Pelodiscus sinensis: one gene and its partners. The protein of the gene in region 4 interacts with the protein of the main gene of each other region in a pairwise test. Links are inferred from orthologs where the notes say so. Each region holds a gene or a part of one and is shown on either strand. Other genes may lie near its edges. The genes, in order: HNRNPR, hemoglobin subunit pi-like, RNA-binding protein 3-like and KHDRBS2.

What was found.
Region 1: the proteins of KHDRBS2 (region 4) and HNRNPR interact in binary tests that used the Homo sapiens proteins (3 or more experiments, as listed by UniProt). The link is inferred for Pelodiscus sinensis from reciprocal best matches to the Homo sapiens genes KHDRBS2 and HNRNPR.
Region 2: the proteins of KHDRBS2 (region 4) and hemoglobin subunit pi-like interact in binary tests that used the Homo sapiens proteins (3 or more experiments, as listed by UniProt). The two-hybrid records come from large-scale screens. The link is inferred for Pelodiscus sinensis from reciprocal best matches to the Homo sapiens genes KHDRBS2 and HBZ.
Region 3: the proteins of KHDRBS2 (region 4) and RNA-binding protein 3-like interact in binary tests that used the Homo sapiens proteins (3 or more experiments, as listed by UniProt). The link is inferred for Pelodiscus sinensis from reciprocal best matches to the Homo sapiens genes KHDRBS2 and RBM3.

What each region holds. Positions count from the first base shown.
Region 1 is NC_134735.1:23,170,399-23,177,827, reverse strand, and holds the start of HNRNPR (heterogeneous nuclear ribonucleoprotein R), read right to left. Parts: upstream 3,362-7,429; 5' UTR 3,292-3,361; coding exon 3,214-3,291; intron 1-3,213. UniProt on the Homo sapiens protein: Component of ribonucleosomes, which are complexes of at least 20 other different heterogeneous nuclear ribonucleoproteins (hnRNP). hnRNP play an important role in processing of precursor mRNA in the nucleus.
Region 2 is NC_134726.1:4,665,710-4,673,267, forward strand, and holds hemoglobin subunit pi-like, read right to left. Parts: upstream 3,296-7,558; 5' UTR 3,231-3,295; coding exon 3,136-3,230; intron 1,525-3,135; coding exon 1,320-1,524; intron 587-1,319; coding exon 458-586; 3' UTR 328-457; downstream 1-327. UniProt on the Homo sapiens protein: The zeta chain is an alpha-type chain of mammalian embryonic hemoglobin.
Region 3 is NW_027466045.1:272,969-281,236, forward strand, and holds the start of RNA-binding protein 3-like, read left to right. Parts: upstream 1-4,953; 5' UTR 4,954-5,104; intron 5,105-6,135; 5' UTR 6,136-6,145; coding exon 6,146-6,248; intron 6,249-6,570; coding exon 6,571-6,677; intron 6,678-6,759; coding exon 6,760-6,865; intron 6,866-6,955; coding exon 6,956-7,037; intron 7,038-7,653; coding exon 7,654-7,720; 3' UTR 7,721-7,721; intron 7,722-8,122; 3' UTR 8,123-8,268. UniProt on the Homo sapiens protein: Cold-inducible mRNA binding protein that enhances global protein synthesis at both physiological and mild hypothermic temperatures. Reduces the relative abundance of microRNAs, when overexpressed.
Region 4 is NC_134713.1:45,802,354-45,809,888, reverse strand, and holds the start of KHDRBS2 (KH domain-containing, RNA-binding, signal transduction-associated protein 2), read left to right. Parts: upstream 1-4,299; 5' UTR 4,300-5,067; coding exon 5,068-5,158; intron 5,159-7,535. UniProt on the Homo sapiens protein: RNA-binding protein that plays a role in the regulation of alternative splicing and influences mRNA splice site selection and exon inclusion. Binds both poly(A) and poly(U) homopolymers. Phosphorylation by PTK6 inhibits its RNA-binding ability.

The DNA of each region.
Region 1 (7,429 bases), on a different chromosome or scaffold from region 4:
AGGGAGGGGGCAATGGTTGCACTGAGGTGCATGGGGCAATGCAGGGGACAGGCTAGAGGTGGATCATGGGGCTGAGGGGAGCAAGGCTGGAGCAGAAGGAAGATGTGTGTGGGGGGGGGGAATACAATTTTACTTTGCAGAAGCTGCACTTTCCTTTATTCTCCACTTCTTTGCCTCCCTCTCCAACTACCTATTTGGCCGCATTCTCACCCTTTCACCTTTTCTGTGTTACTCCCCCAGCCCTCTCCCGCCCCTGAACTCCCTCTCATACCCCTACCCCACACTCTCTCCTTCCACCAAACGCTCTTCCAGACCCTACCTTCCTCACCCCATCCTTCACCCCACTTCCCCCCCCAAGATACTGCATCCCTATCACACTCACTGGCAGCCCTGTCCCACACACTGGGACAGGGCTTCATTTTTTTCCCCACCCCAGAGCCGAAGGGGGTCCACAAAATCCACTAACTGCAGAACTCCAGAAAAGTAAATCTGGCCTATGGGAAGCCCTGAACCTCAGTACCTGACCCTTCCCCTCAGGAGGCTGGTGTGCCAGGTGAGGTGTCTCAGTTGGGGTCAACATCAGTGAAGGTTGGGGGGTTTGGGAGGAGTTTTTTTTTGCTTCTCACTTGTGTGATCCCCAACTGATTTTTCTGTGGGTCAGTGACTTCCAACCCAAAAGGTTCCTCACCCCTGCTATAAAGAAAGAAAACACTGAAACCTGTGTGTTGGACATAAACTTCATTTTAAATAAAGTAAAACATTGATAAACTAACACAAGCAAGTTAAAAAGCTTAATCTGTTTAATAATTTAAATGAAACCATTCTCCCCAGCTGCAGCACTAGCAAAATGGCTTGGGTACAATTATGTAATTAACAGTGAATTTCCATTAGCAACTGGTACTCCAGGGAAAGATTTGCATTGACTCAGGTGGTCCACGGGGAGCCAAGTGGAAAGCCCCTTCCCCCAGAGAGAGGAGCACAGCCCAGGTCAGGAGAGTTAAATTTTGGCCCACCACTTCAGAAGGGTTGCTGACCCTGGTGTAGTCAATCAACTAGCAAAAGCTTATAGGTCAATGCTATAGACTATATACATTTCTCTCTCTCACACACACACCCACCCACCCCACACAGCCCAGACCAGTTCCTGCTCACACCAGGTCCAGCTCAGTCCCCACTGTATCAGAGACAGCAACGCAGAGCAACAGGTAGCCAGTCCACAAGGAGAGCTGAATCAGAGGCAGTGGTATGGACTGGCAAGCAGCTCCTCCCAAGTGGGGCCAGAGCATACTGGCAGTGGGCCCCAGCCCCGGTGACTACAGGGCTGCCAGCCCTAGGGACTACAGAATAGTTGAGTAACTTATGAAAATTCACAAGGTTATTCAACTATTCAATTAACCAATATTTAACATCCCTACTCTGAACTTCATTTTACTAGCCTCTCACTCCACCTCCAAATGGGTCAGCCAGCTCAAGTTACAAATAGGGTGACACTCAAATTAGGGGGTTGGATGTGGAGGAAATTCAAGTTAGTGACAATACTTGAGTTACCACTCATGAACTCTGCCGTGAAGACATGTGCTAACATGTATGAATTTTACCTTCCAGAAGGTCACTTCAGTTCTCTATCTGTAATAGTAATTTATCTACCACTCAGTATTAATGACAGAATAAATCCATTAACATGTCTGGTGTACCCAAATATTACTGAGATTCACATCATAACTAGGGATGTGAATAGCTAAAGGGTTAAATGGTTACCCAGTAAGCATCACCCTTAACCAGTAATGCTTACCCGGTAACAGTCAACAGGTACCAACCAGGAGCAGCTTAGCCTCTATCAGAGGGCTGCTCAACTCCTGTGGAGTTCCCCACTGGGTCAGCCCCCCTGCCTACCTTCTCTTTAATGGATTAAATATTGTGTTAGTAGGATGTTTAACCATTTAACCAAATGGGATTTTACATCCCTAAATAATTAACAGCAGACAGACGATTGAGTAGGGATATAAAATACCCAAAAAGAACAGCCACTTTTAGAATAAAGAATGCTATTAAGTAGAATTTTGCTAGTCAGCAAACCTTATAAATTTACACAGAAATCAAGTCAATTCACAGAAAGGTTTAAAAAACCCACTAATTACTGACACTTTCTTACTCCTACAGAATACACCATGTATGACACTAATAATTGTTCTGCAGTATGTCAAACAGAAAAATGTGTGGCCATCAATGATACCCACAGCACAAAAGTATCAAAGCTGTTAAAAATGTTTTTGCCCAGTAATGGGAGAAAAGACAAAAAGAAGATACAAAGAAAAGTCTAAACAACTTCCTCTAAATAAGCCTATGCTGAACCATAGGTCAAGTAAGGCTACATTCACAGGGTAATGCATAACATGGCCACTAAAACACAGTAATTAAATCCACTTTAGAAATGTGTATAAGTATTTAATAAAAAATTAAATCCAATTTAGATCCTGTATGTCTAATAAAAACGTTAGTGGATAGAAGTTTGCTAAAGTTCAGCACAGAAAATGCAATTTCATATTAGCGAGATTCTTTCATCTTTCTAGCCCAAAGCAAGGCGTACCACCTAGAACCAAACACAAAACGCGACCTAACCGCTATTAAACTCGGGCAGTGTAAGTTTTAGCTTCCTAAAGCCGAAGCTAGCGAAGCACATCCTGGGCGGCTTTACAGCACGGGGGTCGCCTGCTTACAGCAATGCAGGCGGGTCAGCACGAAGGCTGGAGCCTCGGTACTCCCAGCCCAGCCGCGCACGCGGTGTTGTGCCCAGCGGCCACGGGCTGTGCCTCCAGGCAGCTTTGAGCGGCCACGCGCGGCCCGCGCGAGGAAGGGCGGGGGGGGGGGGCTGCGCTGGACGCGCGGCAGACACAATGCCAGGCGGGCGCCAGCCACATGCAGGAGCCGGCCCACGTGCGGAGCGGAGCGGGCCGCGGGCAGCGCACGGCCCCAAGCGGCGCCCCGTGGCCTCGGGCCCGGCTGGCGCTCTACGAGGCGGCCCACGCGCTGCCGCCCAACCCCGAGCGCCATCCCCAGCCCAAACCAGGCCCCGCGGCGCCTCCGGAGCGCGGCCTAGTCCCGGCCGCCAGGGCCCAGCGCCCCGCCTCGGCCGAGCGGGGCTGGCTACGCACCCGCGGCGGGCCAGCTCTCGGCCAGCCCCCCACCCCCCGGCGGCGGCCCCGCGGCACTCACCGGAGCGCGGCCTACGCGGCGCGGCTGGGGCCTAAGCAGCGACTGCAAATGGCGCGCGCGCGCCTCCTTTCGCCTCATGGACGGCGGCGCGACCCCGGCAAAACGCGGGGTTTCCCAGAACTGCTTCCAGGGCTCCCTGCATTAGCCAATCAGCGTATTGGGAGCCAGACGAGCAGCAAGGCGGAACCTATTAGCGATCGGAGGCGAGACACGATTATTCTAGGGGACCAATTAGAGAAGACAGAGGCCGACGCGCCCGCAGAGCTAGGGCCCGAGATCGGAAATTTAAAGAGGCAGCTGCGCCTCGCTGAACAAAGGGAGGGGCCGCCTCCACCGCTGGGCGGGGCCAGGGCTGTGAAGAGCCGCTCGCGCTCGCGCCCGCGCCCTACGGTTCTCACAGGTACTGAGCCAGGGCACCGCCCCGGGCTGGAGGGCAGGGCAAGGTGCGGGGAGCATGGAGGAGAGGGGTGGGGGCGGGGCAAGGTGCGGGGGGGTTCGGGGTGGGGGCAGGGCAAGGTGCGGGGAGCATGGAGGGGTTTGGGGTGGGGGGCAGGGCAAGGTGCGGGGGGGTTTGGGGTGGGGGCAGGGCAAGGTGTGGGGGGCATGGAGGGGTGGGGGCAGGGCAAGGGGTGGGGGGCATAGAGGGGTGGGGGGCAGGGCAAGGGGTGGGAGGCATGGAGGGGTTCAGGGTAGGGGGCAGGGCAAGGTGTGGGGGGTATGGAGGGGTTTGGGGTGGGGGGCAGGGCAAGGTGCGGGGGGGTTCGGGGTGGGGGCAGGGCACGGTGTGGGGGGCATGGAGGGGTGGGGGCAGGGCACGGTGTGGGGGGCATGGAGGGGTTTGGGGTGGGGGACAGGGCAAGGTGCGGGGGGTTCGGGGTGGGGGCAGGGCACGGTGTGGGGGGCATGGAGGGGTGGGGGCAGGGCAAGGTGTGGGGGGCATGGAGGGGTTCGGGGTGGGGGGCAGGGCAAGGTGCGGGGGGTTCGGGGTGGGGGCAGGGCACGGTGTGGGGGGCATGGAGGGGTGGGGGCAGGGCAAGGTGCGGGGAGCATGGAGAGGTTTGGGGTGGGGGGCAGGGCAAGGTGCGGGGGGGTTCGGGGTGGGGGCAGGGCACGGTGTGGGGGGCATGGAGGGGTGGGGGCAGGGCAAGGTGCGGGGAGCATGGAGAGGTTTGGGGTGGGGGCAGGGCAAGGTGCGGGGGGGTTCGGGGTGGGGGCAGGGCACGGTGGGGGGGGCATGGAGGGGTGGGGGCAGGGCAAGGTGTGGGGGGCATGGAGGGGTTTGGGGTGGGGGGCAGGGCAAGGTGCGGGGGGGTTTGGGGTGGGGGCAGGGCACGGTGTGGGGGGCATGGAGGGGTGGGGGGCAGGGCAAGTTGTGGGGGGCATGGAGGGGTGGGGGCAGGGCAAGGTGTGGAATGCATGGAGGGGTTCAGGGTAGGGGGCAGGGCAAGGTGTGGGGGGCATGGAGGGGTTCAGGGTAGGGGGCAGGGCAAGGTGTGGGGAGCATAGAGGGGTTTGGAGTGGGGGCAGGGCAAGGTGTGGGGGGTTTGGAGTGGGGGCAGGGCAAGGTGTGGGGGCATGGAGGGGTTCGGGGTGGGGGGCAGGGCAAGGGGTGGGGGGCATGGAGGAGCTCAGGGTAGGGGGCAGGGCAAGGTGTGGGGGGCATGGAGGGGTTCTGGGTGGGGGCAGGGCAAGGTGTGGGGGTATGGAGGGGCTCAGGGCAGGTGGGAGCTAGGAGCTGAGAGTGCAGCCACTGTAGCCCACCTGTCAGATCCCCTCAGCTGGCCGAGCTGGCTGGCCACCTGAGCTGTGGGTTTATTATCGTGAGTACTGATTCCAGCCCAGAAGGCCTGGAACCTTGTGCCCCTCCCCCCAGTTCTCTGGTAGTGGGGACAGGATTGGGCTCCTGTGAGGCAGAAGGGGTGGGATGAGCACCCAACATAAGAATCTTACAGTGTCCGGCAGCAGCTAGAGTCCTGCCCCCAGCTAGCCACTCTCCTACTGCACACCACCTTACTTTCACTTCTAGTATCTTGTTTGCAACACTCTTGTTAATGCATCCCAGAATCATGTTTGCCTTTTTTTTTCTTTTTTGCAACAACGTTACACTACTTATACACATTAAGGCAGGGATGAGCAAGAGGCAGCTAGCCAGCGGGATCCAGTGGCCACCTTGCCAGCACCCTTACTACAGAGCAGTTGCAGCTGCTTTAAACAGTGGTCTGCTAATTGATATGCAATCTGGGCAGGGAGTAGGGATGTTAAAAAGTGTCTAATCAGATAGTTGACAAGTTGTTTAGTTGATAAAGGGGGGAAACTGCAGAGTTGCAGCAACCTTGCTGCAGCTCTGCCTTTTAAATCTATTAAGTGTTATCAGGCTGTTAGACATTTAGGCTATGTCTACACTGGCATGATCTTGCGCAAGAACTCTTTTGTGGAAGAATACTTGTGCAAAAACTCTTGCAGAAGAGAGCGTCTACACTGGCATATGCGTTTGCGCAAGAGCATCCATGCCAGTGTAGACACTCTCTTGTGCAAGAAGGCTCTGATGGCCATTTTAACCATAGGGCTTTCTTGTGCAAAAAATTCATGTTGCCTGTCTACACTGGCCTCTTGCGCAAGAACAGTTGCACAAGAGGGCTTATTCCTAAGCGGGAGCATCAGAGTTCTTGCACAAGAAGCCCTGATTTCATACATTAGAACGTCAGTGTATTTGCGCAGTGTAGATAGGCAGCAATTTTTTGCGCAAAAGCAGCTGCTGCTTTACCACATCTTCACAGTGGTTAGTTGATAGGAGCAAATGCTCTCCTTGACTTCCCGTGCTCCTTGCAAATAGAGGAGTACCCGTGCTGGCCAGGGGTACCCTCACCATTTGATTTAGTGGGTTTTATTAGACCTGCTAAATGGAATACCAGAAGATTGATCTCCGCTGTGGCAACTGGAGATGTAACCTCAATCTTCAGGGAAAATTGTTTTTAAAAAATGAAACTTCTGCCAAAACGCTAGCATGCTATGGTCTTTGAAGTTCACAAAACAATCCCTTCTTGCTTACATATTATCTTCACAGCTTTAGGATGCCAAGCAAATCTGTGAATCAGCTAAAATAGTCATGTTCTTGTTTCAAATATTAATAAATATTTTTCTGGTACTGGAGCATAAAAAACATTTACTTAGTCTTATACAATATGTCTGGGATGTCAGCTCTTCAGCTGACTGATACTGCACACACCATAGAACAGTAAAATTAAGTAACAGAGCAAAACAGACTGCAAACAAACAAGTGGCAATACCATGAATGGTGAGTGAAGCTGCTGCTTGGGGAAGCAAGCTCCCCAGCCTGTGGCCTCTTTCATACGCCACATCTTCTGTCTCAAGCCCCACTATGTCCATCCTCTCCTCCTACGGATGTTAAATATTGGCTAATCAAATATTCGATTAACCTCATGAATTCTTATCAATTACTCAACTATTGTATAGTCCCCAGAGATGGGGCTGGCAGCCAATGCATTCCAGCCCCACTCTCAAGGAGCCCCCTGCCTCTCCACCTTCCATCAGAGGCAGCAGCGCAAGGTGCCAGTTGGGAGCTGGTCCGCAAGGGGAGCCAGTTTAAAAACCAGCTCCTCTCATGGACAAGGTGCCTGTTGCCCCACGCAACTGCTTCTGATACAGAGGCAGTAGCATGGGGTGGCAGCAGCCTCTGTCCAGTGTGGGGCTGAGCTCCTGGACCTGGAGAGAGCCAGATCTGAGCAGGGCTGCAGATCAGCCTGCTAAAAAATTTACAGGCAGGAGGGAAAGGAAATGCATGTAGTCCATGGCATTAACCTATAAGCTGTTTCTTATTGGTTAATTGACTACACTACTACATCCCTATCTCCTTCCTATCAAATCTCTGAACCCAAATGTAGAAAATGGCATTGCAGGGCCCCACTCTTCTGCAGTTTCTTGTCAGATAGTGAAGACTAGACATGCAGAAGGTAATAGAAAACATGGAAATGGCTGAGGTGCTTAATGACTTTTATTTTGAATTTCACCAAGGAGGTTGGTGGTGACTGGATGCCTAACATACTGAATGCTAGTGGAAATTGTAGCCATGTAGTTAAAACGTAGTTTTAAGCTAAATAATGTGCCTCAGTGTACTTTGCCAGCTACCCTTTCTAAAAGCAGAAAGGACCTTTACCTTACTTTTGGTAAAGGTTCACCAGCCCAAATATTGTAACTA
Region 2 (7,558 bases), on a different chromosome or scaffold from region 4:
CTTCTCCATCAAGGAAGTGTCTAATTATCTGTGAATTTGGGCAAGCTCTGGCCTCAATGATACCTTGTGGCAATGAGTTCCAAAGGCTAATTGTGGGTGAAAAAATAGTTCTTGATTGATTTTAAATTTGCTGCCTTTCAGTTCAGTGTCCTCTGGTTCTTCTTCTATGATGAAAAAAGAGTAACTAGAAGTGATTAGGTGTTGTATGTGGATCTCGCTATCTGAGGAGCCCCCTTAGCATCTTGCAGGGAATGTCAGAACACCCTTCCCATTATGAACAACAATGTCCGGCTGGAGCCAGTGAATATTAAAGCACAGAGACAAGAGTGGCCAATTAGAATATTTATTGGCTTTTTGCTTAGGACAACACCCAGGTGTAGGGATTCATGAAGCGTGCATGATGAAGGGTGGGCATCCCACTCTGAGAGGCCTGGCCCCTGCTCTCCTAGGAGACAGTTTATCTATACTTCTCAGTCAGCACCGAAGAAATCTGGGACAGGAACTTGTCCAATGCAGCATGAACTTCCGGGGTGAAGTCGTTGGGAAAGTGGGCGGCCAGAGAGCACAGAATGCAATGGGAAAGCAGCTGCAAGAGAAAAGAGCAGGAGAAAATCACATGGAAAATCACATGCCTGAAATAACACACCTCTGCCTGCTGGGAGCCTGAAACACCAAGCTGGAGTCTCCTTGCCAGGTAGAGTCTCCTCCAGTGGGTATGAGTTACTGACTGAGAAATCCACCTTTTAGACCAGAGAGAAGTCGTTGCTTCACACTGCTCCTCTTCCTTGTCCTGGGACTATAAAGTAACCAGGAATAATCCTTGCACATACAGAAAGCTTTTCATGCAGGAGCCTGAGTCCTTGGCCAAGCACAGTCAGTATCATTCTCCCCATTTTTGATGGGGGTACAAAGATGTGATGCGATCTGTCTAAGATCAGTGGCTCACAGACCTTTGTTGTGGGCACGAGGGACTGAACCGGTAACCTTAGGGGTGAAAGCCATGTGCTTCTACAGCATGAGCTAAAAGCCAACTGGCTCTTGGCTAAGACTGTACAGCAGATTTCACTCTCCCTTGCCAAAGATCTCAGTGCATGGCAGCTAGGTCCATCCATGGCTAATAGCCAAGCTGGGCAGGGGTGGTGTCCCTAACCTCTGTTTGCCAGAAACTGGGAATGAGCGACGTGGGGTGGATCCTTTGACAATTGCCCATTCTGTTCATTTCTCCTGGGGCACCTAGCATTGGCTACTGCAGGAAGACAGGATACTGGGCTAGACGGAGCTTTGGTCTGACCCGTGTGGCCCTTCTTATGTTCACTCACCTTGAAGTTCACTGGGTCAACTCGGAGGATGTAGGCATGCAGCTCACTGAGTGTGGCCAAGGCACCTGTAATGTTATCGATGTTCTTAGTAGCCTCCCCAATAGCACTCAGGACCTTGGAGCCATGGCCATGAAGCTGAGCAGAACCTTGGCTGAGATCGAAATGAGGGAAATAGGTCTTGGTTTGGGGGAAGCCTGAAAAAAGCCTGGAAGAGAACATTAGAAATGACTTCAGTAATGGAAATTGCACCAAGCAGCTGATACAGCCCTGAGTCAGGGAGGCCAGGACCCTGGATCGACACTTGCTCCTGCTCTTCTCGTCCAAAACACTGGAACTGGGAAAAGAATGGATTAGAGAAATGCTCTCTAGACTGTTAGTATTTGACTGTACCCTGTGCTGAAATGGGGCTGGAATGGTCAAACGTTACAGGCCAGCAGTTCTACAGGAGCGGTTTGTAACCTTATTTCTTTGTTTTAGGAAAAGAGTGATAGACCAAATTCATCCCTGGTGTTTACAGTTGTAAATCAATGGAGTCTCACCAAGAAGAATTCTTGGCTAAGCCATGTTTAGATTTACACGCTGAAAAGTATTTTACAAGCATTTTCAACTTACTTTCTTCTTTGAGCTAAATAACCTAATACTTCCCCACAGCCATCCTCATCCTCTGTAGTATATTTTCTGCAGCAGAACCAAATTGCATTTCCCAATGATAGCAGAATCTATAGTGAATACTCTCTATAGTCAGATATTTCATGTCCAGAATCTTTGCTTCAATCAGTATAAGTGAAGCTTACATAGCCAAAAAGGGCCATGAAAAGATTTAAAATGAACTGCTTGAATATCACAAACCTGGGACTAGTCTTCACCTGAAGAAACCAAACATTGTTCCCAGGTTCTTTCCCTCCCTTTGTATCAGCTTGTTTAGACAATTAGCTGTGGATGGATTTTTACTGGAAGGAGTACAGAGCTCTTGGGCCGTAAGGTGGGTTACCCCCAAACTTCAGCTGGTTCATTTGAAATGGGATGTTTGGGGAAAATGTCCCCTTTACTTAACATACATTTCACATAATACTTCAAATCCATTAGTCCTGGCTCTACCAATAAAAGGCTGGCTAGTTGTATTTACAGCAAACCTTCCGTGACCCTACAAGCCTATGTGGTTTACAGTGATATGCACTTCATGGGGGTGTCTACTTCTCCTGCTAATCTGTTACACATCAAATGGAATGTTGAGACATGTTCCAAGCATCCTGCTTGAATACCCCATCACAAGCACTGCCCTGCACTTGCCACTAGAAATTGCATCATTCACATAATAACCCCCTCCCACGTGCCTTTTGTTTTCATGTTCAGCTCATACCAGTGATAACCTTTGCACTTGGCATTATCTGGGTATCAGTGGCCATGTGGAGTCACTCTCCGGAGCTCCGCCCAGCTGGCATCCATGGAAAGTGAATAAAACAGAATATTCTTTCTTTTGGGGTTTGAAATCATCCCGCAGGATTGGACAGCAGGGATATTATTCTCTGTTAAACTCCATAGAGTGTTAGAGTCATTTCTATAGAGCGCTGCTGTATTCTACAGGACTTTCCATGAGGGTTATTCTCCAGGAAAAGCTGAGGCCCTCAATCACCAATGTTTGAAGAATACCCTTAAAATCTGCCCTCTCAAGAGCTTCATTGTCTCTGATTTCCCCAGGCTTCTGAACTACAGACCCACATTCACCCCTGGCACAAACTTTACCCCCGAGTGTGTCCACCAGGGTGAAATCTGAGACAGGCCCACAGAATCTAAGCAAAGATAGCACATCACTTACCTCTCCAGTGACTCGGCCCCAATGGCATTAGCATGGGTAGCGACCTTTTCCCAAATGGCAACCACTGCCGCCTTCTCAGCTTGAGTCAGAGTCATCGTTGCTGGGGGGTTGTGAGATCAGCCTCCTTGCAATGGTCACTCGGACAGGCCTGTGCTGATCATCCTCGCAGCCCCCTTATAAAGGGGACGGAGAGAGCAGAACTTGGCAGCTGTCCATTGCCATTGGTCACTTCTGGGGCCCACCCCGTGAGGAAGGGCTCTCTTATCTCTCTGGAAAACAATCCTTGTCCTGCCCTGGACTGTTCACTGGGAGGCGTTATCATTTTCTCACATCTTAACGCAGCAGTGTGGTGGCCTGGGGAAATGAACCGGCTGCAGGGGCAGAGATGAGCAAACAGACAATACGGAGAATCGTAATGACAAGGTGGAAAACATCAGGCCTAAGAGCAAGGAGGGAATCATCCACGTGTTTTACAGATGTGCTAACAGGCTCAGAGAGAAACGAATGCAATGACAGGCCACTGCTTTTCAGGGAATACATGGGGACAGAGCAGGGTGTGCTAAGTGTAGACTGTGGATGAAATCCTGCCTGCACTGAAGTCAATGGGAGTTAACCCTGTATTGCTCCTGCCAAGTATTATTCACAAGTAATTTACCATTACTACATAGCACTAGCTACAAAAAATGACACCACTTCAGATTTAAAAACATCTCATGGAAGCAGCGGTATTTTGTATAAACACACACAAACACACACTCACTCGCATACACATCTTGCTGGGTTGAGTAGGGTTCTATGTGTGTGGGGGGGGCATATGTAAACCACGCATCCAGGGTGGTTCACTGTCCCATGTAGTGGCACTCAGATCACTTAGAACAAGAGGTAAGAACAAGGGAGTGCTACAGCTTAAGCTGAGAGCCAGCTGGCTTTGTTGCTCAAGCTGTAAAGGCTCCTATGCTGAGGTCTCAGGTTCAAGTCTGCCTGGTGGTAGTTATATATATATATGCAAAATATTATGATGAATTAACTACACATCTCAAGGCCTCTGGACCACACTACCTGCATATGAGTAGTCCTGTGGCACCTTAGAGACTAACAAAAATATATACAGTGAAGCCTTTGTTATCTGGCACTCTGGTAACCAGAAAACTTTGTTAACCAGCATTGCCCCTAGCCACAATACTGTCACATCACATCTTCAGGTGCACAGGCCTGGCTTGGTTTACCATGATTGGCTTAACAATTTTTTATTTAAGAGGTACTAATCATCTTTAACTCAAAATAGAAATGTGAGACCAACTGCCTCACACTATTAAAAACTTACGTTTTATTATTATTGTCCATTGGTTTTCCTAGGTTGATGAGACCCTCAGATAAATGGAATTTTTAGATAACCAGATCCTAATCCCCAAGCATGCTGGATAACACAGGTTTTACTGTCCATAGCATCATGGGCTTCTTCAGATGAGCTTGAGTGGAGGACAAAAAATCATTGGTGTAAAGGAATCTCTCTAGAGCTCATGGCTGGAGTACTTAATTCTTCAGGTCTTTCATTCCTCGATGTATAATTCTGACAATTGTTTATCTATATGGTGGGATAGCAGAGAAGGCCGGGAGCCTATTGTGCTCCAGCTGTACTAAAACACAGGAGGACATGAAGAGCTCATGGTCTAAACACATAGAAATAAGCGAGGTACGGGGGTGAGAGGAGGAGGGTGACTGAACAAGGGGATGGCTGGCTTATGTCTAGATTCACTAGGCAGCCAAGAGAGGCTGGGAGAACTGCCAGGTCCTGCAGTTAGACACAGTTTCAAAGAACTGCCCCTCCAGAGAAGAAAGCTTGTGTGTTTGCAAGAAGGAACCCCTTGTCCCTGTGCCTGCAACACTGGCTACAGCAGACCCATCTGCCACCAAGATTAAGGCCATGTCTACACTACAGCGTTATTTTGAAATATCTTATTTCGAAATAGTTATTTCGAAATAAGTTATTTTGAAATAACACGTCTACACACAAAATACATTTCAAAATAGCGTTTTGCTATTTCGAAATAGCACGTCTACACTGAGTGGACGCTGAATCGCATTTAAGGCCTGCCAGAACCAGGTCCGGCAGGGCATCAGATCAAGAGTTACTTTGTATGGCTGCTGACTGAGGCTATCTGAGGCCTGTGCTTAAAGGGACCCTCCCCCCCACCCAGACAGCTGGTTCTCAGGTTTCCCTGCTTGCTTACCTACCTCAATGAGGGAGAGCAAAGCATTTTGTCCCTGTATGCTCTGGTTGCCCTCACCCGGGACACCACAGCACTTTGCAACATGGAGCCAGAGCTGCTCCTGGGCACTCTGGTGCTTCACTTGGACACATTGCTGCGAGCCTGGCTGCACTTTCTGCAGGCTGCCATCCGGGAGGTCTATCAGGGGGCTGTCAGTATCCAGGAGGCCCTGCGGGAGAGCTTCCATTCTGAGGAGCACTAAGAGCCTCCCTGGTCTGCCCCACTGGGGGTTTGTGCCTCGTTCCTCCCTCACGTCCTTCCACTTACCCCTCCCTAACCCCCCTTCCTGATGTCCAATAAAATACATGTATTTTCATGAACACAAACTTTCTTTATTTAACAAGACTGGGGAAAGGAGGCTGGAGAGGTGAGAAGAGAGGGTGGGAGAGGGGAAGGGGAAACCAGGGAGGAGGGAGCTGGAAGGGGGAAGCAAGGGGAAGAAGGGGGAGGAGAAGCTCAGGGCTCAGGGTTGGGGGTCTCGCCGGACCAACTTGATTTTCATGCGAACCTGCTCCTGGGTTTTCATGTGGCCTTTGGTGGCCAGGCTGGCAGCTATCCTGCCATAGACGGCCGCATTCCTCCATCTAGTGTGGAGATCATGGATGTTGGGGGCATCCCCCCCAAACTTGAAGAAGGTCCATGATCTCTACCCTGGACCAGGAAGGCGCCCGCCTTCTCTGGGCCCTGGCAGGCCCCTGGGAGCTGGCAGACTGCTCCTGGGGAGTGGTGGAGAGCTGGCTGCCTGTGGCTTGCTGGTTCATGTTTTGGGGCCACTGGGTCGGGGCAGTGACTGCTGGCTCTGGGCTGGCAGGCTTGGAGCTGGCACAGGCACTGTGGCCAGAGTCTACCCCTTTAAGGACTCCAGGGAGGAGGGGAGGAAGAGGAGTGTTCTTAGTTGAGTGTACTTGGGGTTGCCTGTTAAATGGCTTTATTACCACTTGAATGACTCTTTCCCAGGTTCCAGGTTCTGCTAATAAGTCTGGCAGGCCTTCTCGCTTTTAAGTTAACTGGATCCTCTAAGAAGGAAGCAAAGCCACAGAACGGAGATAGGACGAGGTGGGTAGATATTAAGACCCAGTGGTGCCCCACATTTTCAGATGCCCTGATCTGCTGCGTATTTTGCGCATGGGTAAGGATGGCCCTGCTAGCTTCCATGCACCACTAATTCATGGACTCCTGCCACTGGCGAAGCAGTAAGCCCTGTGCCTATGCTGTGGCAAGCATTGGTCCTCAGGCCTCTGTAGGAGCATGGGAGGCTCTGCTACTCCCGGACAGCAGTAATAGATTAGCAGGTGTCTCCAGATAATGGTGAGGCAGGCTGCCCAGTAGGAGGTTTCTCTCTGGGAGCCCCACCAACTGGGACTAGTGCAGTGAAGGCTGGTGGCTTGAGTGTTTCCATTTTGATGAGGCTGCAGTTGACTCTTGACTCCCTTGCCTATTGGAATGGACATTTCCTCCAACTGGTCTCTGTCTCTGGGATTTTGCAGTAAGTCTGTGCCCTTTATGATGGCCATATTTGGGGCTCGGATGGCATTTTTCTCTGGGTCAGAGAGATCCAACTGGATGCTCTAACCACTGGACTACAGACCCATGCTAGCTTGTGTGCACTCATCCTTCCAGGGTGGCCCAGGGCTACTTCTAAAAAAGGAATAAGGGATCTTTCGGAAAAGGCTTTATTTTCCAAAAGATCCCCGTCTAGACTGGCGCTTTTTTCCGGCAAAGCTCCGAGCCGGAAAAAAGCGGCAGCCATGTTTATGCAAATGAAGTGGGGGGATTTAAATCCCCGCTTCATTTGCAATTGCGATGTGTCTAATTTGCATCCCTTTTATGGAAAAGGGATGCAGTCTAGACACAGCCAATGGGGGCAGAGAGGAGAAGGCTTTGCATGCTCCCCTGCCTAGGGTTGCCAGATGGTTTAACTAAAAATACCGAATCCCCCTACCCCCCCCCCCCCAAAAAAAAACAGGGGAAAAATTGTTGGGAAAAAAAAGGGAGACCAAAGTCGTTGAGAGGAAAAAAAAAAAAAAAGGACCTCGAGAGTTATTAAGCAAAAACAATAGTGTTGCCCCTTTAAGAAAAGCCTTTGAACCTTTTTGCTGGCTGTCATCTTGTTTTCCTGATTGAACCAGAAGACAGCTTCCCTGCGGGACCAG
Region 3 (8,268 bases), on a different chromosome or scaffold from region 4:
CGGGGGGGGGGCTGGGAGGTCTGGATTGTCTCCCCGGCTCTGTGAGGGGAGTGGGGGCTAGTGGTTAGAGCGGGGGGGGGCTGGGAGGTCTGGATTGTCTCCCCGGCTCTGTGAGGGGAGTGGGGGCTAGTGGTTAGAGCGGGGGGGGGCTGGGAGGTCTGGATTGTCTCCCCGGCTCTGTGAGGGGAGTGGGGGCTAGTGGTTAGAGCGGGGGGGGGCTGGGAGGTCTGGATTGTCTCCCCGGCTCTGTGAGGGGAGTGGGGGCTAGTGGTTAGAGCGGGGGGGGGGCTGGGAGCTGGGGCCGTGGCATCCGGTCACGGCCGCGTTAATGAAAATGCTGTTGGCACCCAGGCTCCGGGCTCAGGTTCCTGCCCCGCCCCACCCCCAGACCCAGACTAATTAGCCTCCCGGGTGCATTGTGTCCCCGGGGCTCTGCGTTCCCACGCTCTCAGGTTCGGCCGCCGGGGGGGAGGGGCGATCAGGTTCCCCCCATGTAATCCTGGGGCTCACAGCCGGGAATTGGCAGTGGGCTCTGCCCTGAGGGGGGGGCGCGGGGACCTGGGGGGTGCAGGAAACTCCCCTCTAGCCTGCAAGGGGCTGCCGGAGTGGCAGGGCGACAGGGGGAGCGCCCCCTGCAGCAGCAGTAGTAGGGCTTGCACCCTTCCTGAGCCACCAGGGGGCAGAGCCACAGGGGCCCGCAGAGCTCGGGGGAGCCCAGGGCAGGGCTGGCAGGGGCTGTGGGTTGGGGGGAGGGGCTCGGGCAGAAATCCTGACCCCCCCCACTGTCTCCCTCTCAGACGCTATCAGCCCCCCCTTCCGGAAGAGATGCCTGGCCTGGAGGGGGGGCCCCCGGCCGCTCCCCCTGCCCTGCTCTTTCCCACCCCCACGCGCCGGCGCCATCGCACCAGCTTCATGCCGGAGCAGCTGGAGCAGCTGGAGGCCGCCTTTGCCAAGAACCACTATCCGGACATCTACGTCCGGGAGGAGCTGGCCCGGGCCACGCGGCTCAACGAGGCCCGGATCCAGGTACCCAGGGGGCTCCGGGGCGGGCGCTCTCCCCTGGCACTCAGGCCTGGCCGCTGGCGGGCGTTCTGTGTGGGTGTTTCCCAGCTGCCCCACCCCAGAGGTGGCTGCACTCCGCAGCGGGCGAGGCATCGCTGGGGTCCCAGCCGGGCGCACGCCTGTGAGGGGCTGGGGAGCGCAGCTGGGGCTGGACGGCGTCTTTTTCTCTTTCCAGGTGTGGTTCCAGAACCGCCGGGCCAAGCAGCGGAAGCACGAACGGGCCTTGCTGAAGCCCAGCCCCCCGCGTGGCCTCTCTGTGGGGCCCGTACCTGCTCCGTCACCCCGGCCGTACCAGTACACCCCGCCCCTGGCCCCCCACCCCCACCTTCCCCGCTTCCCTGCCTCCTACCCCCCAGGACTCCCACCTCCCCCTGCCCAGTTCCCCTGTCCCCACCCCCCGCCCCCTCCCTGTGCCCCCGAGGACTGGTACAGCTCCCTGCGCGCTCTGACCTCCCCCACTGCCCCCCCGACCCCCGTCATCTCCCTCAGCCTGGACCCAGCCGCCCACTGGAACTGAGGCCCACGAGGCGCTGGGCCACAGCCTGGAACAATCATAAAGGCGTTGAAAGGCCTCTGACTCCATCTCCTTCCTTCCAGCACCATCGGACAGCCCTCCGGGCACTGAGATGCAGGGGCAGGGCAGCTGGGGAACAGCCACATACAACACAGCCCAGGGGGAGGGCTCCCCTAGCTCTGAGATGCAGCCACCTCTGGGGCAGGGCAGCTGGGGAACAGCCACATACAACACAGCCCAGGGGGAGGGCTCCCCTAGCTCTGAGATGCAGCCACCTCTGGGGCAGGGCAGCTGGGGAACAGCCACATACAACACAGCCCAGGGGGAGGGCTCCCCTAGCTCTGAGATGCAGCCACCTCTGGGGCAGGGCAGCTGGGGAACAGCCACATACAACACAGCCCAAGGGGAGGGCTCCCCTAGCTTTGAAATGCAGCCACCTCTGGGGCAGGGCAGCTGGGGAACAGCCGACACAGAACACCACATGGGGCTGGCTCAGCCAGCGCGGAGAGGCAGACAATTCTAGGGCAGGGCAGCTGGGGAACCCCCACATATAACACTGCATGGGGATGGCTTATCCGGTGCGGAGATAAGCCATCACCTTTTGTTATTAAATAATTCAATATGGGCCAGCACGGGGTCCCAGCCTGTACCATGGTGTTTCCTCTGCGCTTTAAATGGGTTAATTTCCTAACAGAGAGAAAAATGGTGAGTGAAATAAAATCGTACGACTGGAAGGGACCAGCAAGTGAGCCAGGACCCTGCACAGTCTAGTTCAGTGTTTCTCAACCTTTTTTGTTATAAAGTACCCCTTGAAAAAATTATAAGTACCCCTTTTTCAAAAAACGTGTAAGTTCCCCCAGTACCTACAGTTTTCAGAGACACATTTGTTTAAACAACTCCATCGCAGTCGGGCGGGTGATGACTTTTTTGGGTGTAAAAAGTACAAAAATAATAAAGCGCTGTCAAACGTCAAACAAAAATGCCGTTTTCTCCACCTTTCAGTTGTGTTGACGGACCCCCCAGACATCTCTCAAGTACCCCGGAGGGTACTCGTAGCGCTGGCTGAGAAACGCTGCTCTAGAGCACGCCTGGACGTCTGTCCAACCTGCTCTTCCATATCTCCAGGGCCGGAGATTCCACAGCCCCTCTAGGCAATTGACCAGTGTTTCACCCCTGGCAGGCGGGAAGTTTTTCCTTATGTCCAAACCTCCCTGGCTGCAGTTGAAGCCCCATTGCTGCTTGTCCCGTCCTCAGTGGCCAAGGGGAACAATTTTTCTCCCTCCTCCTCGCGACACCCTTTAACATACCTGAAAACTGCTTCATGTCCCCCCTCAGTCTTCTCCTTTCCAAACCAAACAAGCCCAATTCTTTGTCTGCCCGCCCAGCTCCTGTTCCCTAGACCGGCCATCAGTCTTGCTGCTCTTCTCTGGACCCTCTCCAATGTCTCCACATCTTCCTTGAAATGTGGTACCCAGAACTGGCCACAATCCCCCAGCGGAGGCCTGACCAGCGCAGAGCAGACCAGAATGACGTCCCGCATCTGGCTCACAATACTCCTGTGCACAGATCCTAGAATGATGTTTGCTTTTATTACAACAGTGTCACACTGTTGGCTCATATTTAGCGTGTGGTCCACTATGACCCCTAGATCCCTTTCTGCCAGACTCCTTCCTAGACAGTCGCTTCCCGTTCTGTGCGTGTGGCACGGATTGGTCCTTCCTAAGTGGAGCCCTTTGCATTGGTCCTTATTAAACTTCATCCTCTTGACCTCCGACCGTCTCCCCTGCTTGTTCAGATCACTTTGATTTAGAACCCTGTCCTCCAAAGCACTTGCAGCAAATTGGGGGGGGGGGGCGGGGGAGGGAAACGAGGCCATAAAATATAAGTGCAAATGGGGAGTTTTCTAGGAAAAGTTTATCAGATCATCGAAAAGCCCCGGTTCCAGAAAGAAAGATGGGGAGCCACATGCTCTGTGAGTGGGGGCCGAGGGCACCAACTGGAAAGATTAAAAGCCGTGTGGCACAAGTGGGAGAGGACCAAGAGGGACGGCAATTACACAGCACTAGCAGGTGCGGCCGGGCGTTGACCGGGCAAAGTCACTTTGCGTCGCTTGCACTTCCAGGAAAGTTCCCGGCGCGGGAGAGAGGGCCTAGAATTGTTTTATTCACGCGCTCGTGACAGGGAACTCGGGAAGGGTTTGAAATCAGGAGGATTTCCGCGTCGGGCGCGATTCGGTGAACGGGGCAGAGGCCAGGCACAGGCAGAACCGTGTCCCAGCCCCATGGCGGGTCCGTAAGGAGTGGGAGTTATTTCGTGTCGTGTGTCGTCGCCCGCGTTCTCTCTGCACGGGCGCGAGGGCGGCGCCGGCGCCCTGGTGTTCGGCTGGCGAGGGCGGCGCCGGCGCCCTGGTGTTCGGCTGGCGAGGGCGGCGCCGGCGCCCTGGTGTTCGGCTGGCGAGGGCGGCGCCGGCGCCCTGGTGTTCGGCTGGCGAGGGCGGCGCCGGCGCCCTGGTGTTCGGCTGGCGAGGGCGGCGCCGGCGCCCTGGTGTTCGGCTGGCGAGGGCGGCGCCGGCGCCCTGGTGTTCGGCTGGCGAGGGCGGCGCCGGCGCCCTGGTGTTCGGCTGGCGAGGGCGGCGCCGGCGCCCTGGTGTTCGGCTGGCGAGCGGTGCTCTCGGCGGGATGCTGAGCGAGCGCTGGGACTTTCTTCCCGACACAAACCGAAAATCAGGATTCCCCCGCCGCCCGTTCCCGCAGGGATTGGCCCCCCCCGTGTGTTCCGGGGTAAAACGCGTAGTCACCCCCCCATTCCGGGGGAAAATGTGGGGATTTCCCTTTCCTTGGGGGTTAAATGCAGGGATTCGGCCCCCCCCCCCCCCCCCGTGGCGGGTAAAACGCGGGAATTGCCCCCCCCCGTGGCGGGTAAAACGCGGGAATTGCCCCCCCCCCCGTGGCGGGGATTTCAGGTCATGGAGGGGGCGGGGCATTTATGCAAATTAATTAATTATTACAATTCACTGTTAATTAAGCCTCACGCCTGCGCCCCTCCCCCCGGATCAGGGCAGCAGCGCGGGGGGGGGGTGAGACGGAAGGACCCGGCTGCGAGCGGGGGCGGGGCTCAGGGGCGGCCTTTAGAGCAGGGGGCGGGGCTCAAAGTCCGCCGGGCCCCGGATGTTCCATGGGCGGGGCTCCGAGAGGCCAGGAGCCGGACGCCGCTGGGTGGGGGAAGTCCCCGGATGTGCTTCATGCGCAGGCGGCCTGGGCCGGGCTTGGCGGGAAAAGGCGGGGCGCGGCGGCAGTTGGGCAGGACCCGGATGGGCGCCGCGTGCCAACGTCCCGGATGGGCCAGCTTGGGGCTGGCCCCGCCCTTCTCTGCCCTCCGCTCCGCGCGCGTGCGCGTCTCGTCACTGCGTCCAATGGGAGCGCCGAGCCGAGCGTCACGTGAGCGGTGGGCGGGGCCGCTATATAAGGCTCGAGCGGGCGGCACCTCGGCCGCCTTTTCAGCAGCTCCAGCCCGGGAAGGACTCGCCTGGTGAGTGGTGGCGCGGGACGTGGTGGCGGGTGCTCGCCCTGGCGCAGAGGGAGTCGAGGGATTGTGGGAGGGCCGTGGCGGCCTAAAGCGCGCATGCGCGGCCGACGGGACCCTGATGAAACGTTGGTGGCCGGTGCAGGAGGGGGATTCTGTGGCGAAGGGGCGGCGCACGGAAGAGGCCTTAGGGGCGCGCATGCGCGGGGGCGGTCTCGGAACGTTGGCGGCCAAGCGGGGCCTCTGGTGGGAACCGGACTGCTGCGCGCATGCGCGGTGGTCGCCTCGCTGGCGTTCTCTCCGCGGGGCTCGCGCCGGCTCTGCGGGAGGGGGCGCCTTGGAACCCTGGGGCGGGCGGCGTTCCATCCGGCGCGGGCCTGGCCACGTGATCGCCCGCCGCCATCTCTTCTGCGCGGGACGCAAGATGGCGGCCGCTGGGGGCGGGGTTGGGCTCCTGGGCCCTTGCGCCCTCCATTGGGGAGGGGGTGAAGAGCACGTGGGCCCCCTAAGGCCGGGGGGGGGGGGCGAGTTCCCTGGGCTGGGAGAGCAGCCGGGCCTGTTTCATGGGGGGGCCTGCAGCAGCCCTGAGCTCTGGGCAGCGGGTCTGGGACCCTCGCAGGGTCACCCCGAGAGCGGCTGTCCTGGGGCACTTCCTCCCACCCGGGCCTTGGAAGGAGGGGGGCGGGGGACGTGTTGAGGCGCTTTAGTATCCATCCCGATGATGATCCAATCCCATTTCCTTGGGAGAAGGCTGCGGTAGGGGGCTGAGGGTTGCAGGCTCCATAAGGCCCTCAGGGAGAAAGTACTTTCTGATGCTCAGTTGCTCCCTGCCCCTGGGAGGCAATGGGGAGGGGGGAAGCTACCTGGGGCCCCTCGGAACTTGTAGGGAGTGCTGAAGCTCTCACTCTCAGGGGAGAATCCTCTGCTGCAGTGTCTACGTCTCTTCTTTCCCTCCTTCCATGCGGGGCTTGACTCCGGGCTTGAGAGGGGAAGTCATGTCATCTGTTCTTCCTAACCACCTTGCATCTCCTTCCCAGACTCCTCGCCATGTCTTCTGAAGAAGGAAAACTCTTTGTTGGGGGTCTGAATTTTGAGACCGACGAACAAGGCCTGGAGCAGCATTTTGGCTCCTTTGGCCCCATCTCTGAGGGTAAGGATTCAGTTATGCCTGCACACCTGGTCCCTATGACTGTGAGGGGAATTGGTTTTGCAAGACCTCATTGCAGTAGGTGCTTAGGCCTCTGCCTTAATATCAGCTGCCTAGTAAACTGGCACAGCTCTTTGCCATGTGGTATCAGCAGATATCTTACTACAAAGATACTGCAGTGTGGTCAGGCTGTGGGGTGCATCTAGGAGCAGCATCAAGTAATTGACCAGTGCATGAGGCCTGTGCTACATAAGGGTGATTTGTAGACACAGGTCAATTCCAAGTGCAAGTTGGCTCAATTGCCCTTTATTTCTTCCCCTTCTAGTGGTGGTAATTAAGGACAAAGAGACCCAGAGGTCCAGAGGCTTTGGCTTCATCACCTTTGCCAACCCAGAACATGCATCGGATGCCATGAGAGCTATGAACGGAGAGGTGAGTCTTACTGCAGTGATATCTTACTGCAGGCTGCTGCTTAACCTGTTCCCTTTCCTAAACATGTCTTGTTTCGCTGCAGTCCGTGGATGGGCGTCAAATCAGAGTTGACCACGCTGGGAAATCTTCCCGTGGATCCAGAGGTGGCTCATTTGGAGGCAGGGGACGAGGCCGTGGCTACTCCAGAGGTGAGTCTAGCAGCCCTGCTGTTCTCAATCTGCAAGTCCCTGTCCTTTGGGAGTAGGAGCACTAATGTCTTTTTACCCTGTGTGCTGTAGGAGGTGGAGACAGAAACTACGGTGGCGGCCGCTATGACAACCGAAGTGGCGGCTATGGCGGGTCCCGGGACTACGGTGGCAGGTAACTCTTAATGAGACTCCAGGAGCCCAATTGATGAAGCTTAACACAGAATGTTGAGGGGTGACTTGAGCTTAGTCTGCAAGCACCTACGTGCAGATCAGTACTTGGATATTAGGCTTGCCTTGCTCAATTGCAGAGCGCTAATGTCATCCAGCTACTGGAAGCTGAAGCTAGAAAAATTCAAGTAATAAGGCACGTGTTCTTTAAGTGAGAGAGATGATCTGTATTGGAATTGAGCAAGAGTTGTGGGTGATGTTCCCTCACTTTTTTCCGTCCATGTGCAGAATAAAATTTGTGTGCCCTGGGGATGTGGCTGTGCACCATTAGAAAGGCATGCTGCTGCCTGTGGGTGCTGTGCTAATCCCTTGGGTGGCCAAGTGGCCACCCAAGCACTTGGCTTACAGGAAACACTGGCTTGGGGGGAGGGGGGGATTTTTTTTGTCCCTGCTACATTTGAATTCAACATTAGGCAGTTCATTTTTTAAAAGTCTTAGGTTTCTGCTTCTACTCATCTTGTCTGCCCTGTCCTGTGGGGGTCTGACTTGATCAGTTTTCCATTGCCCTTAGAATTGAGGGCGTTGGAGTGAATGTAATAAGAGTTGTGCTTTGCTTTCAGGAATCAGGGAGGATATAATGACCGCTACTCCTCTGGAGGCAGTTACAGAGACAACTATGACAACTAAGGTAGGTGGAGCTGAGAGAATGAAATACAGCACTTCTCTTGATTAGCAGGTGCACTTAAAACCTTTGCAACGCACCATCTTGTGCTGAGCAGTGGCCATAATCGAGGATTAGTAGCTGGGACTCGTCTCTTTGTCCGCCTTTAACAAGCCTGACTGAGTCTTATTGCCAGGCCTTGGTTCCGTTAACCCTGGTCGATAGCTAGCATGAAATGCATGTGGAGGCTTAGAATTCCATTTAACACAAGTGACCGCCATCCAGCGACTAGATAACTGGGGGAGGGGGAGTCCTGGAGATTCCTAGCCTCACAGAGCCCCAAAAACAGTCTTAGAAGATGGTGAAATGCTACAAAAGTGTCGGTATGCTTCAGTGCCTTTACGATTGTACCTACTTCTTGTCCTCAGCTCGCAACGAGTAAAAACCCTTCCTGACTCAAGATCGTCCTTCCAATGGCCGTATTTATAAAGAGTTTTGGAGCTTCGCTGAAACTTATTGTTTAGTTATCTCTACCTGTATCTTCCCTTTTGTAGTCTTGTCACGCAGCCTGACA
Region 4 (7,535 bases):
TAGTCTGAAGAAGAGAAGAGTGAGGGGGGATTTGATAGAAGCCTTCAACTTCTTGAAGAGAGTTTCCAAAGAAGCTGGAGAGATGCCGTTCTCAGTAATGACGGATGGCAGAGCAAGGATCAATGGTCTCAAGTTACAGTGAGGAAGGTCTAGGATGGATATTAGGAAAAACTATTTCACTTGCAGGATGGTGAAGCACTGGAGTGGATTACCTAGGGAAGTGGTGGAATCTCCATCCCTGGTGGTTTTTAAGTCCCGACTTGCCAAAGCCCTGGCTGGGATGATTTAGTTAGGTTTCAACCTGTTTGGGCAGGGGGCTAGACTCAATGACCTCCTGAGGTCTCTTTCAGCCCTATGATTCTGTGATTCATCAATACAGGAGAGAAATAAGATAGTAAATTGGTGCACTGGTGTTCAAATTATTAAACTATTGTCACTGATATTTTAGAGCCCCTGCTTCTTTCATAGCTGTTTTATTGTGATCTGTCCGGGTAAGTCTACACTACAGCGCTAATTCGAAGTAACTTAGTTCAAATTAGTTAATTCGAACTAAGCTAATTCGAACTAACGCGTCTAGAACTAAAAACTAGTTCGAATTAGCGTTTTGCTAATTCGAACTAGCATGTCCACATTGAGTGGACCCTGAACAGGGCTTAAGGATGGCCGGAAGCAGTGCCGGCAGGGCATCAGAGGAGGACTTAGAGCGTGGAGATGCTGTCTCAGGCTAGCCGAGGGCTGCGCTTAAAGGGACCCGACCCCCACCCCGGACAGACAGTTCTCAGGGGTGCCCTGCTTGAAAACCAGTCGTGGCTTGGAGTGCCCGGAGTGCCCACACTGGGCACATCACAGCACTCAGCCATCAGCCCGGCTGCACTTGCCGCAGGCTGCCATCCGGGGAGAGGGGGCAATTGAGGGGCTGCAGGAGAGCTTCCACCCCAGAAGCCCGCAGAGCCAGCCCAGTCCTCCCCATCGGGGGCTAGTACCCCATTCCTCCCTCACCTCCTTCCACTTACCCCTCCCTAGCCCCCCTTCCTGATGTACAAAATAAAGATAACGTTTCTTCCAACATTGACTCTGTCTTTATTGAACAAAACTGGGGGAGACTGGAAAAGGAGGTGGGAGAGGGGAAGAGAAAGGCTGGGAGATGGGAGGGCAACTAACATGATCAGGGGTTGGGAACAGGTCCCAGATGAAGAAAGGCTACAGAGACTGGGACTGTTCAGCTTAGAAAAGAGGAGATGGAGCGGGGACAGGATAGAGGTCTCTAAAAGCAGGGGTTGGGTGGAGAGGGTGCATTCAGAAAAGTTCTTCATGAGTTCCCGTAAAGAAGGACTAGAGGACACCAAAGGAAAGGACTGGGTAGCAGGCTTGAAACTAGTAAGAGAAAGTTGTTGTTCTTCCCAAAGCAAATAGTTAACCTTCGGAACTCCTTGCTGCAGGAGGCTGTGAAGGCTACAACTAGAACAGAGTTTAAAGGGAAGTGAGATCAAGTCATGGAGGTTGGGTCCATGGAGTAGTCTTAGCCAGGGGGTAGGAGTGGTGTCCCTGCCCAAAGTTTGTGGAAGACTGGAGAGGGATGGCACGAGACAAATGGCTTGATCACTGTCTTCGGTCCATCCCCTCCAGGGTCCCTAGTGTTGGCCGCTGTCGGCAGACAGGCTACTGGGCTAGATGGACCTTTGGTCTGACCCAGGATGGCCATTGTAAGCTCAGGGCTCAGGGTCGGGGGTCTCAGTGGACCCCCTTGATTATCATGCACACCTGCTCCTGGGTGGCCAGGCTGGCAGCTCTCCTGCCCTAGCTGGCCACTTTCCTGTGCCTACTGCGGAGATTGTGGACGAGGTCCAGGATGTCCGCACTAGCCCAGGAAGGTGCCCGGCTCTTGCGGTCCCGGGCAAGCTCCCGGGAGCCGCCAGCCTGGTCCCGGGAAGAGGGGGTGGGCTGGGGGAAATCGGGTGGCTGGCTCGAGCCGTGCCAGGTGCAGGGTCTGCTGGCTGGGTGCTGGCAGGCTTGCACCTGGCACGGGCACCGTAGCCAGCCCGTGCCCCTTTAAGGGGTCCGGGGCCGGGAGGGGGGCAGACGAGTTTCCCTGGTGTTGGCCAGAGTGGCCACCAGGGAAACCTGGGGAGGGCTAGCCTCCCACTAGTTCGAATTAAGGGGCTACACACCCCTTAATTCGAACTAGTAAGTTCGAACTAGGCTTAATCCTCGTAAAATGAGGTTTTCCTAGTTCGAACTAAGCGCTCCGCTAGTTCAATTTAAATTCGAACTAGCGGAGCGCTAGTGTAGCACCTATGAATGTTAGTTCGAACTAACGTCCGTTAGTTCGAACTAACATTGTAGTGTAGACATACCCTCCTTTATTAGACTTATTAAAAATAAAACAGAAAAATGCTTTGCCTGTTCTGAAACATCAAACCAAATACATGTAAAATATATGTTTTTATTTTAGTGGATATAGCAAACACTCAAGCTCCTAACTAGATAAGAAGTCATAACTCATGATTAAAATATCATCTGAAAAATGTATTTAATATCTGACAGACTTTCATGAAATATGTTTTAAATGAGATTTACTCTAAAATTTCCAGAAGACCCCAAGTGACTTAGCAGCTTAAGTATCATTGAAAGTTAATGTGACTTAAGCTGTCACATGCTTAAGTCACTTTTGAAAATGAAACGATGGATCATCTTATGCCTGGCCACTTTGCTGCAGAGAAATATGTATATAACCCTTTTCTGTACTCCCTATACGCAAGTGTTCTATGAATACAGTTCTTTCTATTGCACAAGTTCCTTAAATATATATACTCAAGTTTATTTTTTTGAAAATTGGAATTGTATTCAGAGAGGTATAAAAGTTCAAATGGTAACCATATCTAAGCTTTGGTTACCCTTCCATAAATTACATGTAAAAGGTAAAATTGGATGGCCAGCAAAACACAGCTAATCAGACTCCCAACAAAATTTACTCTGAAACAGCCCACTACCTATGTCACTCCTGCAGTGTGTCCTGAATACCAAATGACCAGGACTATTTCAGAGTGGGAAGAATTTAGGTTAGTGCTGAGTTCCCCTCTTTTACTATTCCTCCTTCTCTCTTGAATCAGAAGAATCCAGCATTAGCTTTTCCAGTGAATGTAGAGGTAGCAGTGTGGCAGGAGTAGAAACATGGTCTCTCAGTAGGATAGGACTAAGCCAACGTTAGTTAATTATATTTTGTTAAGGTCCAGACACCAGAGAAAAGAATAAAAACGATAATGATAATAAACGCAAGATTCATTCAAAAGCCTCTGGTATTATGGGTTTGGCCTGTGCTCCATCTATTTATCCTATTCTAAGCCATTTAAGGTCTTATATCTATATATATTGTGTGCCTTCATAGTTCAAATTTCTCGGTCATGGTTATTACAATGGCTCCTGAATCTGCTGGGATATGCTAATAGATTTACAGTTGTACTTTTACATTTGTGTCCTCTCTCACACCAAAACAGGATTAGTAGGTCCCTGGTGTTTGCCCACTTGATTGATAAAATATTCAAATGATAAAGCAAAAATAGAGAGCTATACCTAGAAACTGAACAAAAGAAGCAGGGCATAGCTAGGGGTGGAACTGAATGTGCTGTGGCCTGCCCGCCAGCTCCCCTGGCACTCTGTCCAAGGAGCAGCCAAGACTTACCCTTCCTGCTCGCTGCCCCCCATTCGTGACCACCCACCCGAAGTGAGGGTTCATCCAGGTGGGCCCTTCTGGCTGCTCTACTGAAAAGAAGATAGAAGAGTGCTGAGAAAATGTTCTTACGATGTAACCCCGGTTCAAATTGCCCCGGGAATCTTTGTCCATAAGTGAACATGCTTTGTCTGTAAGATCCATGGGCGTGGGGAAGGGAGGAGTGGGTAACTATAAACTCTAGACACTGTTTCCTGGAAATTCAACTCTCCTGGGAACAAAGCCCATTGTATTAGGCCTGTTGCAGCCCCTCTAACCGCATGGGAGCTTTAATTGTCGAAGGAGGAAGCTTCAAGCGCCGCTCTCAATGTAGCGTCGCCTTTTCCTTCCTCAGTGAGCCGCGGGACGTCTGCGGAGCATCGGGCCGCTGTGCTCAGATGCCGCGGCAGTCCCGGCTCTGCCCATATTGCGCCGGCAGTCTCCGGGCAACTGCTCCGTAGTCACCTAGTCCCTCCCGCTCCGGGGCTCTGGCCAGTCCAAGCTGGCCCAGGCGAAGTAGCTCCTTGGCACCTGCAAAAAGTTCCTGGGAGAGGAGGGCGGCCGGGGGCAACCAATGGCTCAGTCAAATTTCCCGCCTCTCCTGTGACTCCACACCCCACCCCCTCCCGGGGTGCGGCTAAAGGGCAGGCACAGGGCTGCCGTACATCCTCTCTCCTCCCCCCTGCTGAGGTTGGCAGCCTTCCCCTGGCTCCCGCAGAGGCGCCCCGCCTACCCCGGCGGGCAGTGCCTACTCCGGACTTCAAGGGCGCGGGCTGAAGGGTGTGAGGGTGGCTCAGGGAGTCTCGCTCCTCCCAGCCCCCGCCCCCTTAGCCCCCGCTTCTGGCTGCTGCTGCCCGGGCGCCTGGCCCAGGCTGCTCCATCCTCCCGCTGCTTCAGCACCTCGGCCAGCGAGCGGAGCCCGCGCACCCCTCCCGCCGCCTCTGCCAGCTCCGTGCCCCGCCAGTCAGCGGGCGAGCTGGGGGGCCGGAGCCAGCAGCAGCTCACCGCCGCCTTGCGGGTCTCCGCCCTCCAGCGCGCAGCCACCAATGAGCGAGGTGGGGAGGTGGGGGGCCCCTTCTTCCCGCCTCTCTAGTTAAGGCCGCGGGGACCGGGCTGTAGCTCAGTAGAAGGGGCAGAGGCAGGCGCGGAGCCAGCGGGGGCTGTGAGGGGCAGCACAGGGCAGGGCACCTCCGCTGGAGTTGGGGCCAGCCGCCTGCCAGCGGAGCGGAGGGAGCCCAGGTGCGCGGAGCGGGGGCGGGAATTAGACCACAGCCAGAGGCGGCCAAGCCACCACGCCACTGCAGCCAAGCAGCACCTAGGACAGCGGCGGCCGGTCCCAAGTGCAGAGCGGCAGCGGTACTATGGAGCAGGAGAAATATTTGCCCGAGCTGATGGCAGAGAAGGACAGCCTGGACCCGTCCTTTGTTCATGCAATGCGCCTCCTGGCTGAAGGTAAGACTTCGCTCCTCCTGCCGGGTGTCTTGCCTCTTGAACGCTGCCTTGCTGTGCGCTTAGCTAGGGGACGTGTGCTGCCACGGACAAGCAGCCGGGATCCTTGCACCCAGGCAAGGCATTCCGCACCTTAGCACAGGCATGCAGATGGTCCTCCCCCTCCCCTTTCGGAGGGACCCCCAACCTGCCTGATGGGAGAGATGCCAGCAGAGATTCCTGAGATCTGCCATAGGGATGAGGAATGACTAATCGGCTCAGGCATCGCAGGCAGTGCCATGAGCAAGAAAGTACGGCGTCCACAGAACTGTCCACTTCTGAAGTGGGAGAGCTGGGGAGGGAGGGTTCAAGTCAAATGTGATCCTCGAGAGCGAGTGTGTAAGAGCTATAGTCTGTATTTCGGCAGCCTTTCTCGAGTGCAGAGTTGCCCTATGAACTGGCCATTCACAGGTTTCTGTGGAAATGTTGAATACTAAAGAGGCAATCCGAATCTCATCGCTGACGATGAAACACTGTGGAAGATGTTATTCCCTCTCGTGTCTACTGTATAGGAAAATTATCAATGATCAGTTGCTTTGCAAAGTATGGATTGTGTTTTATATGTTTGTTGTATTAAGGCAGAGAACACAGTTAAATAGGGAGATGCATATTCCTCCCCCCCCCCATTAACAATAGTTCTTGGAGCTTGTTCTCCAATAGCTCCTACTAGCCACTGTTTGGAGTAACTTACCAAATGTATTTATCAAATATCACTTATGCTAATTATATTTATATGTAGTAAATGTCTATATTTTATTTTTCATTGCTGGAAATGTCTGTCTTCTTATGATTTTTCACTAAAAGGATTTATTTCATTGAACAAACGGAATTGGATAGATTTTTTTTAGGTAGGGCTTTCATGGTTCCTGATTTTATTTACACAAAGACAGATGCTAGATTCTCGTTATGGTCATTACCTCTTGTTTTCCATCTTTAAGTATTATGTTTGGCTTTAGATGATAACAGCCAAATCTCCTACTATATCTATAATGCAGCATTTTGTCCTTTTCTGTTTTGTACATTCACTGGATAGGGCATATCAGTTTCATGACATCATTTCATTAGGGACTTGATGCATTTTTCTTATGATTGTACAGTAATATAAAGAATTGTCTTCATACAAATTTATTCTTCATATATCATTAGTGCTTGTGATATAACTACATTTTATGCATTTTGAGGCAGATATACTACTTAAGAAGGAAGTCTTCAAAAACTTTATCTTTCTTACAGCACTATGTAGTTATTGACTATAGGCCTTATTGTGCGGGACTTCTAGTACAGAAGAAGTACAATTAGATATACCCCCTTCTTGCTTTCTGTTGCTTTTTCTCACATATTTTGTTGATTCTTTAAAATATTGTCTAAATTGAATACAAATGAAAATGAAAATAGTGATAATGAAGCATAAATCAAGATTCTATATTAAAATCTGAAATGAAACTAAGACAAAAGCTTGTATTGAAATCATTGCAATATTCAAAATATATACTACTCTACAATCTAAGTGAATAATTTTCTAAAGTTTCATGTGCCTTTATGCACATTCATAAGAATTTAAAACTTTTTATGCTAGTACTTAAAGCAACCCTTAGCTCAGCAGCCTTCATATTGTCTTTCTTAAATACATGTTTTATTGATTGAGAATAAAGTTACTGAGTCTAGATTTTCACAGAGTGCTTCTGTCCGATAATGGGAAGTCCAGCATAAAAAGTGACACACATTTAATATACTTATAATACCTATCATACTGCTCTCACAAACAATCACAGTAGTTTTTACAGCAGGCATACTTACTAATTTGCAGATGATGAACCAAAATTCCTTATTGCTGAAAGGGGCATATTTATTGCACTCTGCAATTTGATCTTTTCCCAGCAGGGGGAAGTATCTACTGAAAGAGTGTGTGTGAGAGCTATCATACAAAGTAAATTACTGAAAGTGCGCCAAGTATAGTCAAATAAAGAAATGTAAGTGTTATTTCGGGGTCCGTAGTTCACGCAAACATCACATTTCAGCCAATTGGTGAGACTGACTAAATTAATAGTTAATTGGTTTCTTTTGAGTATAGCTGGGGTTAAGTCTATCTGAATATTTTAAAAGATAAAGCTAAGCTATCTCTGAAATTTTTAAAGAATGCTAATGTAGGATTCACACCAGATACCTGATATGAACCTTCAAAACACCATCTGTTTAGTTTTTTAGAGAGGTATTTTAGATTTTTGTATAAATGATTTGAAAAAATTTAAAGTATGTGTGCAACTAGTTAAAGCAGCAGAAATAAATGTATTTATTATCACTGGGTATAAATAAAAGTGTCATTGATTTTTCCTTTAGAAGG